2 linked regions of the Rattus norvegicus genome follow. The protein of the gene in region 2 purifies or fractionates together with the protein of the main gene of each other region. This does not show direct contact. Links are inferred from orthologs where the notes say so. Each region holds a gene or a part of one and is shown on either strand. Other genes may lie near its edges. The genes, in order: Casp2 and Pidd1.

Evidence for each region.
Region 1: the proteins of Pidd1 (region 2) and Casp2 purify together in Homo sapiens (affinity purification with western blotting; 5 studies listed by BioGRID and IntAct, with this or other methods). This does not show direct contact. The link is inferred for Rattus norvegicus from reciprocal best matches to the Homo sapiens genes PIDD1 and CASP2.

Annotation. Positions count from the first base shown.
Region 1 is NC_086022.1:72,115,060-72,119,403, reverse strand, and holds the start of Casp2 (caspase-2), read right to left. Parts: upstream 3,048-4,344; 5' UTR 3,042-3,047; coding exon 2,968-3,041; intron 618-2,967; coding exon 467-617; intron 214-466; coding exon 46-213; intron 1-45. Other genes in the region: Tmem139 (transmembrane protein 139), read right to left, coding at 4,041-4,344. UniProt on the Homo sapiens protein: Is a regulator of the cascade of caspases responsible for apoptosis execution. Might function by either activating some proteins required for cell death or inactivating proteins necessary for cell survival.
Region 2 is NC_086019.1:205,968,625-205,973,122, reverse strand, and holds the start of Pidd1 (p53-induced death domain-containing protein 1), read left to right. Parts: upstream 1-1,522; 5' UTR 1,523-1,600; coding exon 1,601-1,910; intron 1,911-2,329; coding exon 2,330-2,743; intron 2,744-3,015; exon of another isoform or gene 3,016-3,028; coding exon 3,029-3,238; intron 3,239-3,321; coding exon 3,322-3,376; intron 3,377-3,477; coding exon 3,478-3,679; intron 3,680-3,756; coding exon 3,757-3,888; intron 3,889-3,993; coding exon 3,994-4,173; intron 4,174-4,245; coding exon 4,246-4,393; intron 4,394-4,484; coding exon 4,485-4,498. UniProt on the Homo sapiens protein: Component of the DNA damage/stress response pathway that functions downstream of p53/TP53 and can either promote cell survival or apoptosis.

The sequences.
Region 1 (4,344 bases), on a different chromosome or scaffold from region 2:
TGGACAAACTAACCCATCCCAGGCTACAGTCCTAGGGCTTCATACCGGTGGGAGTATGTGCTGGATATCAGAGAGGGTTGTGAGCAGTAAGTCTTCCAAGTGACCCTGCCTGGTCTCCCGCAGGGCTTCACAGAAGGCATCAAAAGCCTGGGGTCCTCTCTTTGGCAGCAGGTTGAGGAGTTCCACATTCTGGCTGAAACTGCCCCCTTTGGCCTAAGGCACAGGAATAAAATACTGAATTACATTTATTTATTTAGCCACAATGCTATTTTTCCACATGAGCTTCCTAAGTAGTGTTCTCATTCATCTTGGGAATTCCTGTTTATAGAGTGCGAATACACGGGTGAGATTTTCTATCAAACAAACTCAAGGCTGAGAAGGGCATTCCTCTTCCTTAGCATACCCTTTTCAAAGTCTTTCTTGCCTAAGACCAGTTTCTCTTCTTGGAGCCTTTCTCCCCAGATACCTGGATTAGCTCCCTCATTTCCAAAGTGATAATGTCCTTTTCTAGGAGATGTTCTAACAGTTCGCTCAGCAGCAGCTGTTTGGCCAGCACCACTCGATTCTTTTTCAGAGTTTCCTGATGGTCAGGATGCATTCCACACACTGCCAAAATCCTACAGAGAAAAAGGCAGACACAGGGACTTTCAAGTATGAGCCCGAACACACAAGAGGAGAAAAGAAGTGAGTAAAAAAAACAATAAGCAAGATAAGGCATATTTTGTTAAATCTCTTAAAATAGAAATGTACTAAGCAGTAATAGGCTGACCTATTACTTATTAAGCAAATAAGGTATAACCCTCTAGAGAATGTTTACATCAGACTATCTGAGATAATGATCTCATGAGGAGAGCAAAGAGCTATCTTGGTCAAACTAATGTAAAGAAACACTCCTCTGATAGACAAGCTTCAGTGTTCAGAAAACATGACATACTTTTTATCTTAGAAAACTAACCTAAGTTGAAAATGATCTTAACATAGGAATGAAGTAATAAAAGCCTAAAGCTGACACCCATATTTTTCAGACACACCCGCACACTTGCTCTAGACTGCCCACATAAATTATATCAAAAACATTTTACCTTTTTATGATAAACTAATACTAAAAAGTGATCAAAATCCTACAAGGCATGGGGTAAGTAGAAACTGAGTGAAAGCCATAGGAGGCAGATACCAATGGTGAACATGGTGTCACTTGTAATCACAAGAATAGTGCAAGCAATGGTTAAATTATTTTGGTAATTTAGTTTCCAGCAACAAATGTATTTGAAAGGTTCCCTAGTTTTTCTCTCAAATTTGAAGAGACCTGCTTATGCTCATGAATAAAAGAATCCCATTTCCAATAAATACCCTATATGTGCCCAGTGTTTGTGTGTGCATGCATGTGTGTGCGTGTGTGTATGTCACACACACGCACACACACTCTGATCTCCAGTTTATTTAGTATGAGACAATGCTTAGGGTCTGATGACAATAGAGTGATAGATAGTATAACAGTTCACTTTATACACCAAGAATCCTGATTTCAATGTGGGTAAAATATAGGGGAACAAAGAAGCATCTTCCATCGCTGAAAAACCATGCTCTGGTCAAATGCCCCTCTCACAAAGGCTCCTTTAAGTCCTTTCTGTGGAAAGTTAGATAGCAAAATAGGGTCCTGGGAAAAATGCATGAACAAGAGGTATCCAGGCAGAGTAAGTATTCAGACTGTACCAGCTATTTCAAAATTCACTAGAATCTGCTCTACATGAATTTAAAATCTCAGTTAAAAATCACCATACAAGACAACACAGTAATGATGTTAAATATAGAATCTGGCGAAGACAAAATTAATCTTCTTGCAGCTGTTAGTTGGGTATATCCTTAGGTACACGATGCATGATATAGCAGACTTATTTCATTAGGGACATCGTTGCTTAAAAGGCTCCATTCCCTTGACTTTCACTCTACTAGTCTCTCCAGGTTCACTCTGCTCACCGTGCTCCGGTTTCCTAGTGAGCATCTGACTTCTCCTCCACCACCTCATTCTCTTTGACAGGACTAGGCCAGGAGACCAAACTGGTCTTGAGTTTCTGATCCTCTTGCCTCAGGCATCAGGATACTAGGATTACAGCCCGGTAGCTTTTAAATGCTGACATTGCACTAGAACTCCCTTGCAAAAAACAGGAGGGGGCGGGCATCTTCTCTAGACAATTTCATCCCCAGGCACAATTTACTGATTCTATTCTAAATCCTCTTATGTCCCAGGCTTGAATTTTGAACGAAGCAGTCATCGATGTTTTATCTGAAGCACCACCTACTCCCCGCACCTGCTACTTCCTTTTATTTCAAACTACCAGGAGAAGCTTAAATACGAACTTTCTCGAAGTTTCCAGTCACCTGGAATTTTCGGACACCCAAGGAAAACAGAATGGAGAAAAAGAATACCAAGAGGGTTCTAACGTCTTGATTTCATGTCCTTTAATGGCTCCCGTTTCTAAATTAATGTTAGAGGATTGGACAGGAAATATTAAATTGTGTCGTCCTGTGCAAATGTTTTCATCGAAACTGACTGAGTGAGACGGAGAAACGGGAACCATCTAATCCTCTCAAAAGATTCAAATCCCCCAAACCTGTGTGGAATTCTCTGACAAACATTTATTATATGGAAAAGCAGTCCAGGACATGATATAGTCAATCCTAATCAAATGCGCTCGAGGCCAAGCCGCGAAGTCTGCACAGTCTCTGCTTTTTAAAGAGACATGAGTTTAAGTCCTCAGATAAGAATTGGAAGGAAAAGGACAGAGCATCTCTGGAAAAGGTGAGATGCCGCAGGCGACATGTGGCAGGACTGATAAGATCCATTCTCGTATAGATTCCTCTGCGCTGGACAAAGAAAGGGAGGCTGCTACAGCTTCTGCACACGCGGGACCAGGCCAAGAAGGCGCGCCGCTCGCTCGGCAGCCTCCCCGACTCTGCCCTCCTCACCTGCTCCTCCTGTCAGCCGCCATCAGCCCCTTCCTGTGCAGGGAAGACTGAGACCTCCCGCTCGACGCCGCCATTTCCAGCTTTTCCCGGGCTGCACCCGCACCACCCACAAAACAAACAAACGGGCCGCGCCAGCCCCCGCATCCCTCCCCCAGCCCCCGCCAGCGCCGCGCCTGCGCACGGCCCCGCCCCGAGTCAGCAAGCCCCACCCACGCCCGGACATGCGCAAGCGCACACTTGTCGCTGAGGCTCGCACAGCCCAATGGGAAGAGAGTAGACTCTAGGAAGAACGGGAAGAGGCGGGAAAAGAACAAGGTTTCTCCCACTCGGGGATCTGATTGGCTAGCGATTCCCGCGGAAACCGCAGCTCCCTCCCCTGGTTCCTCCGGTCCCTCCGGCCTCAACTACCAGGAAACCAAAGGGGCTGGGCTTCTCTTGTTATCCTTGCTCGCCTTGAACTTCCAGGGCCAGGGTGCAAGAAAAATGGAAAGCACTAGGAGGCGCTCTTCTCCCAGGCTGGGGGCGCTTCAGGTCGCGCTTCTCCTACCCTGTTTCCTCTCATTCTGTCTCTATTTAGACTTCTCTTATCTACCAGTTGTCCCCAGTAATGCGGATTGCCTGGTTGGTATTGAAAACAATAGGCACTGGAATTGGGATTCGATTCGAGTTATTTTTATGTTTTTACTAGCATCCCGTTCTTGCGCAAACTTTTCAGCTCCCCTCACCCTTAGAATCTCTCATCCCCATCAGGAATCTCAGCGAGACTTGGTGTCTGCAGTAGAAGAAACACAACTGTCACTCCGAGGTACCCCTCCAGCTTCTCTTGGTAACTTATCTCTCTCTTCTTCCACCTTACGCTGGAAGTACTGCTCGTCAGGTAGGCTCCAGAATGTTTCCAGAAGAATCCAGGTATGCCATTTATATCTCGACTGTGAAGGACATTCCGGAGCCCAACTCCCCACTGCTTTGAAGGCATCAATTGTGATGTTTGGGCAAAACCAACTTCTGATTCAATAGATATTAGGAAATGCTGGGCAAATGAGTTCACAGGTGATAGGTTCTGAGAGCATCGCTTAGGGAAGTATCCATTTATCTTCATAGAAAACACTGTCATCATCAGGGTGAGCAAAACCGATTTCATAGGCAGGGGGTGGAGTATTAGGCTCCAGTTTTGGGGCCACCCTCAAGCTTTGCAGATCAGGAGCAGTGGACACAACTCGTGGACCCCTAAGTCGAAGAGCTCTTCCAGGGTTTCCTCTGGGCGTCATTGTCCCCTCTGAGCCCACTCGCCTTTTCTGACTGCCTGTGTCAGGCCTCTCTGGTTGGCTAGGCTGTGCCCCCTCAATTCCTGGGGATATTATGATACTGCTGTAAGGC
Region 2 (4,498 bases):
GCAGCTTTATGGAAACAGTGAGAAAGAGGCAGGGACTGGAATGGAAGCAGAGAGGCGAGCAGGAAGCTTGCCCATCACTTAGACTGTAGAACATGTCTATTCATTTCCAGTCCACCAGCTCCACTGAGGAGGATTCTGGGTGTTGGCTTCAGTATTCACCAACTAAAGGACTTAGGCAAGATCTCTTATCGAAACTTTTGTTTTTTGTTCTTGTGAGATCCACACAAGTCAGGGAGGAAAGGCCAATAAACTCACCAACTAGGCAGTTGGCCCACAGTGATGTTCAGTGGGAAAGCATCTGAACTCGGAAAGCTGGAGTTAACTGCAAAGCCTGAGAGGCAAGTCCTCGACTCTGGTTCTCAACCTTCTTAATGCTTTGACAGTTCTCACATTTCGTGACCCCAACCATGAAAGTATTCTCGATGCTACTTCATAACTAATTTTGCTACTGTTATAAATTGTAGTGTAAATATCTTTTGGAGATATAAGTTTGGCAGAGGGGTCACGACCTACAAGTTGAGAACTACTTTCCTAGAGTGGTTCCCCCAGGAAGTCCTTGGTACCGGCTAAACGTCCGTCCGGCATTCAAAGTTCTAGCTTCTGGCAAGGAGTGTGACAATACCCTAAGTTATCCCTCAAATTACTGTCTTAGAATGCACTTGGGGACCAGACTATGCAGTGCCATCACAGGTCTGGAAGGGCTGCAGAGATCTGAAAGTGTGAGTTTCCCTGCAGGTCACCTGACTCCCTGGTGCAGAAAACCGAAAAGGAAATGGCAGTAAGAGTTCGGGAAAACTCCTACTGGCTGGCCTGGAGAGGCGGAGCCGGAGGGGCCGCCCGCCCGGAAGCGCGCCGGCGGGAAGACAGTGTGGAGCGCGCCTAGACTGGCGGGGAGATCGGCGTGGCAGGTACTCAATGGGAGGCGGGAAGTTTGTTCCAGAGGCGGGACCAAAGCGACTCCACACCTACTGAGACCCTCTCTGCGTTCCCCATTTGACAGAGGTGTGAATTGGGAATTGTGGCTCAAGTGCTTCTGCTAGAGATCGCGATTTGAGATCCTAGCTCAAGAACCGCAAAGTCCTCTTGGTTCCCCTTCGCACTGTTTACTGACCCTCTCGGGCACAGTGACGCCTGCAGTGGAGGAGGGTCATGGGTTTTCCCCAAACATTTGGGTATGAAGGTAAAAAGTGGGTCCCTATTACAAGAGTCCTGTAGGTGGGGTCAGCGGTCACATGGTCAGATTCCAGAATTGAGGTAGGAAACAATTCTTATCCTTGGTCTAGCAGGATTCTCCAAGCTATGCTGTTCACAGAGTCACCCTGTCTGGTGCCCTTCCCAGGCAGAAGAATCCAGCCCAGATGCAAGCCCTAGGGCTGCAGTGACCACTCCACTCTGCCCCTCTCGTGCCCTGGGTTCTCGGGCTGGTGGTTTTAAGAGCTCCCCGGTTTCCAAACAGTTATTTTTTGCTCTGACCTGGAAGAGGAGCCTGTCTCCTACAGCCTACTCCTCCCCCTGCTTCTCCAGCTTCCATCAGCCTTGCCTAGGCAGGCTTGCTTGACAAGCTAGGACATGTCTGGTCCCCGAGGACCTTCTGTGGGTGATGGCTGCAGTGTTGGAGGGGCCGAAGCCAGAGGAAACTGCAGCTGCTGCAGAGGATGCTGCAAGACCCACAGTGGAGGCTGTGGCTTCCAGGCCCGGAGTACCTATTCTCCTGGCTGGGAACCAGTTGAATCTGGACCTACGCCCTGGGGGCTGCCGTCGGCTGCAGTACCTGTGTTCCCAGCAGCACACACAGCTGCTGCAAGTGGAGTTTTTGCGGCTCAGCACCCACGAGGACCCTCGACTGCTAGATGACACCCTAGCCAAGGTTCCGTGGAGTCTACTGCGCCTTCGCTCCCTGGTCCTCAAAGGTGAGTACCCTTGCTCCTGACCCTGTCCTCATCTCTGTCCCAGCTTTGACTCGACATCTTGGTCACAAAGGCCATCCTTGTCCCAGCCCTAGCTCCAGACCTCTCTTTTCCCTGCACCTCAGGTGTGAACCCCTACGCTAGAACTATTCCTTAGCCTTAGCCCTGTCACCTTCCTCCCCACAGTGAGGCTTGCTAGGCCCTGACTCCTGAGCCTAGAACCCTGTAGGTGTCCAGTTGGGTCTCTGCAGATCCCAGTTTTTCTGGAGTGATACTGTCAGCTTATATGATCTGGTGTCTTCTCTGTCTGCTTTTCTGTCTTTCTCTGTACCTCTGGCTGGCTTAAAAGGCAGGCTTTCTCTGACAGGGCTGAATGGAGGGTACTTCATCCCGAGGGCTATAGTTGTCTTTCCCACTTCCAGGTGGCCAGAGTCGGGGTGCCCTGGGTGCTTGCCTCCATGGTACCCTAACCACTCTGCCTGCTAGCATGAGAGACTTAGCCTGCCTGGCCCACCTAGACCTGAGCTTCAACAGGCTGGAGACACTGCCGACCTGTGTCCTGGAACTGCACAGCTTGGATGCCTTGCTGCTTTCTCACAACTGTCTCTCAGAGCTGCCAGAGGCCCTGGGGGCACTGCCTACCCTCACCTTCCTCACTGTGACACACAACCTCCTGGAAAGACTACCCCCAACACTGGGGTCCCTGTCCACCCTTCAGCGTCTTGATCTCTCCGAGAACCTTCTAGACACCATCCCGTCTGAGATTGGAGACCTGAGCAGCCTCAGGGAGCTCAATCTGGCCTCCAACCGGCTGCAGCATCTCCCAGCTTCCCTTGGTGAGTAGCCATGGCCTCAGCTTTTTTATTACCAGCCAGTTTCGAGCAATCCTCAGCTACTCTCCAGAGCTCCACTCCCACATGGCCCCATGCTACCTAAAATCTTTGGACTCTGGCCCCCTCCCTCCTCTTCCACAGAGGCCCCTGTGTGCTGTGCCTGGCCCCTTTCCTTCTACCTCCTTGGTTGCCTATAATTCACATGTGACATTGAAGCCTTTAGTTTGAGTGTCTTGTCAAGGTGACCAGGGCCACCATGAGTAACCCTAAGCCAGCACTTGCCTACAGCGGGGCTGCGGTCCCTGCGGCTCCTTGTTCTGCACAGCAACCTCTTGACCTCGGTGCCCCCTGGCTTGGCCCACCTGCCACTGATCACTCGGCTTGACCTGAGGGACAACCAGCTCAGAGACCTACCTGCCGAGCTACTAGACGCTCCCTTTGTGCGCCTGCAGGGGAACCCTCTGGGCGAGGCCTCTCCTGCACCCCCAAGTCCCCCAGGTAAGCTTGGCATGGGGCACGGCCAGGCTATAAGAGGGGAAAGGCACATCATCATTCTGACCATATGCCTGTCCCTTGTGCAGACATTTCCCAGGTTCCAGAAATGCCCAGGCTATTCCTGACCTCAGACTTGGACAGGTATTGGTGAGAATGTGGCTAGAACACATCTGTCTACCCTGCTTCTCAGGCCACACTGGGGTACCTCATCTTTCAGCCCTCATACCTCTTTTCTTACCCAGCTTCCTTGTGACTCCCCATGGCTGTTCTGTGACCCTGGCCTGTGGTGTCCGCCTACAGTTCCCAGCAGGAGCCACCACCACACCTATCACCATCCACTATCGACTGTGGTTGCCTGAGCCAGGCCTAGTCTCTCTGGGACCTCATGACTTCCTGCTTAGTGGTGTCCTGGAGCTGCAGCCTCATGGGGTGGCTTTCCAGCAGGCATGTACAGGATAGGTAGGGGGCAGGTATGGTGGCTGAAGCCTGGCCCTGTCTCACATACTACTGTTGCCTGACAGAATGTGAGCTTATGGCTGCTCTTTGTCCCCCCACGAGTCCGAGTCCGTCGTTGCCGTGAGGTAGTTGTGAGAACACGGAGTGACAACATCTGGAATGACCTAGAGACCCACCTGGAGGAAGAGGCCCCCAAGGTGACAGCTGCCAGGCCCTAGGGCATAGGGGAGAACAGCTGATCCTGACACCACCCAACCCGCCCACTGTCTCCTGCCCTGACCTTATCTTCCCTTATGTTCCAGAGGCGTTGGGCTCGCTGCCAGGTGCCCCACTTCTCCTGGTTCCTGGTCGTTTTACGCCCAGTATCCAACACCTGCCTATTACCACCAGAGGGAGCACTTCTGTGCTCCTCAGGTCATCCTGGGGTCAAAGTCACTTTTCCCCCTGGGGTCACAGAAGAGCCCCGGCAAGTCTCCATGCAGGTATTGGGCAGGGCAAGGGTGGCAGGAGGTGCGTCAGCGTACAAGAGGGCACTGAAATGGTTCTCCATCCAGGTAGTGCATATGGCTGGACTAGAGCTGAGAGCCCTTCTGGAAGAGTCAGAGGCGGCAGTGAGCCCCTTGCTGTGCCTTTCCCAGAGCGGACCCCCCAGCTTCCTACAACCTGTCACTGTGCAGTTGCCCTTGCCCCCCGGTGTTACAGGTGAAGCTGCATGCCACAGGAACAAAGGTGGATGCTCAGAAGGGGAGACAACATTTAGGGGGGCTTTAACCTTCTGCCATTTCCTGTCCAGGCTTCAGTCTGGAC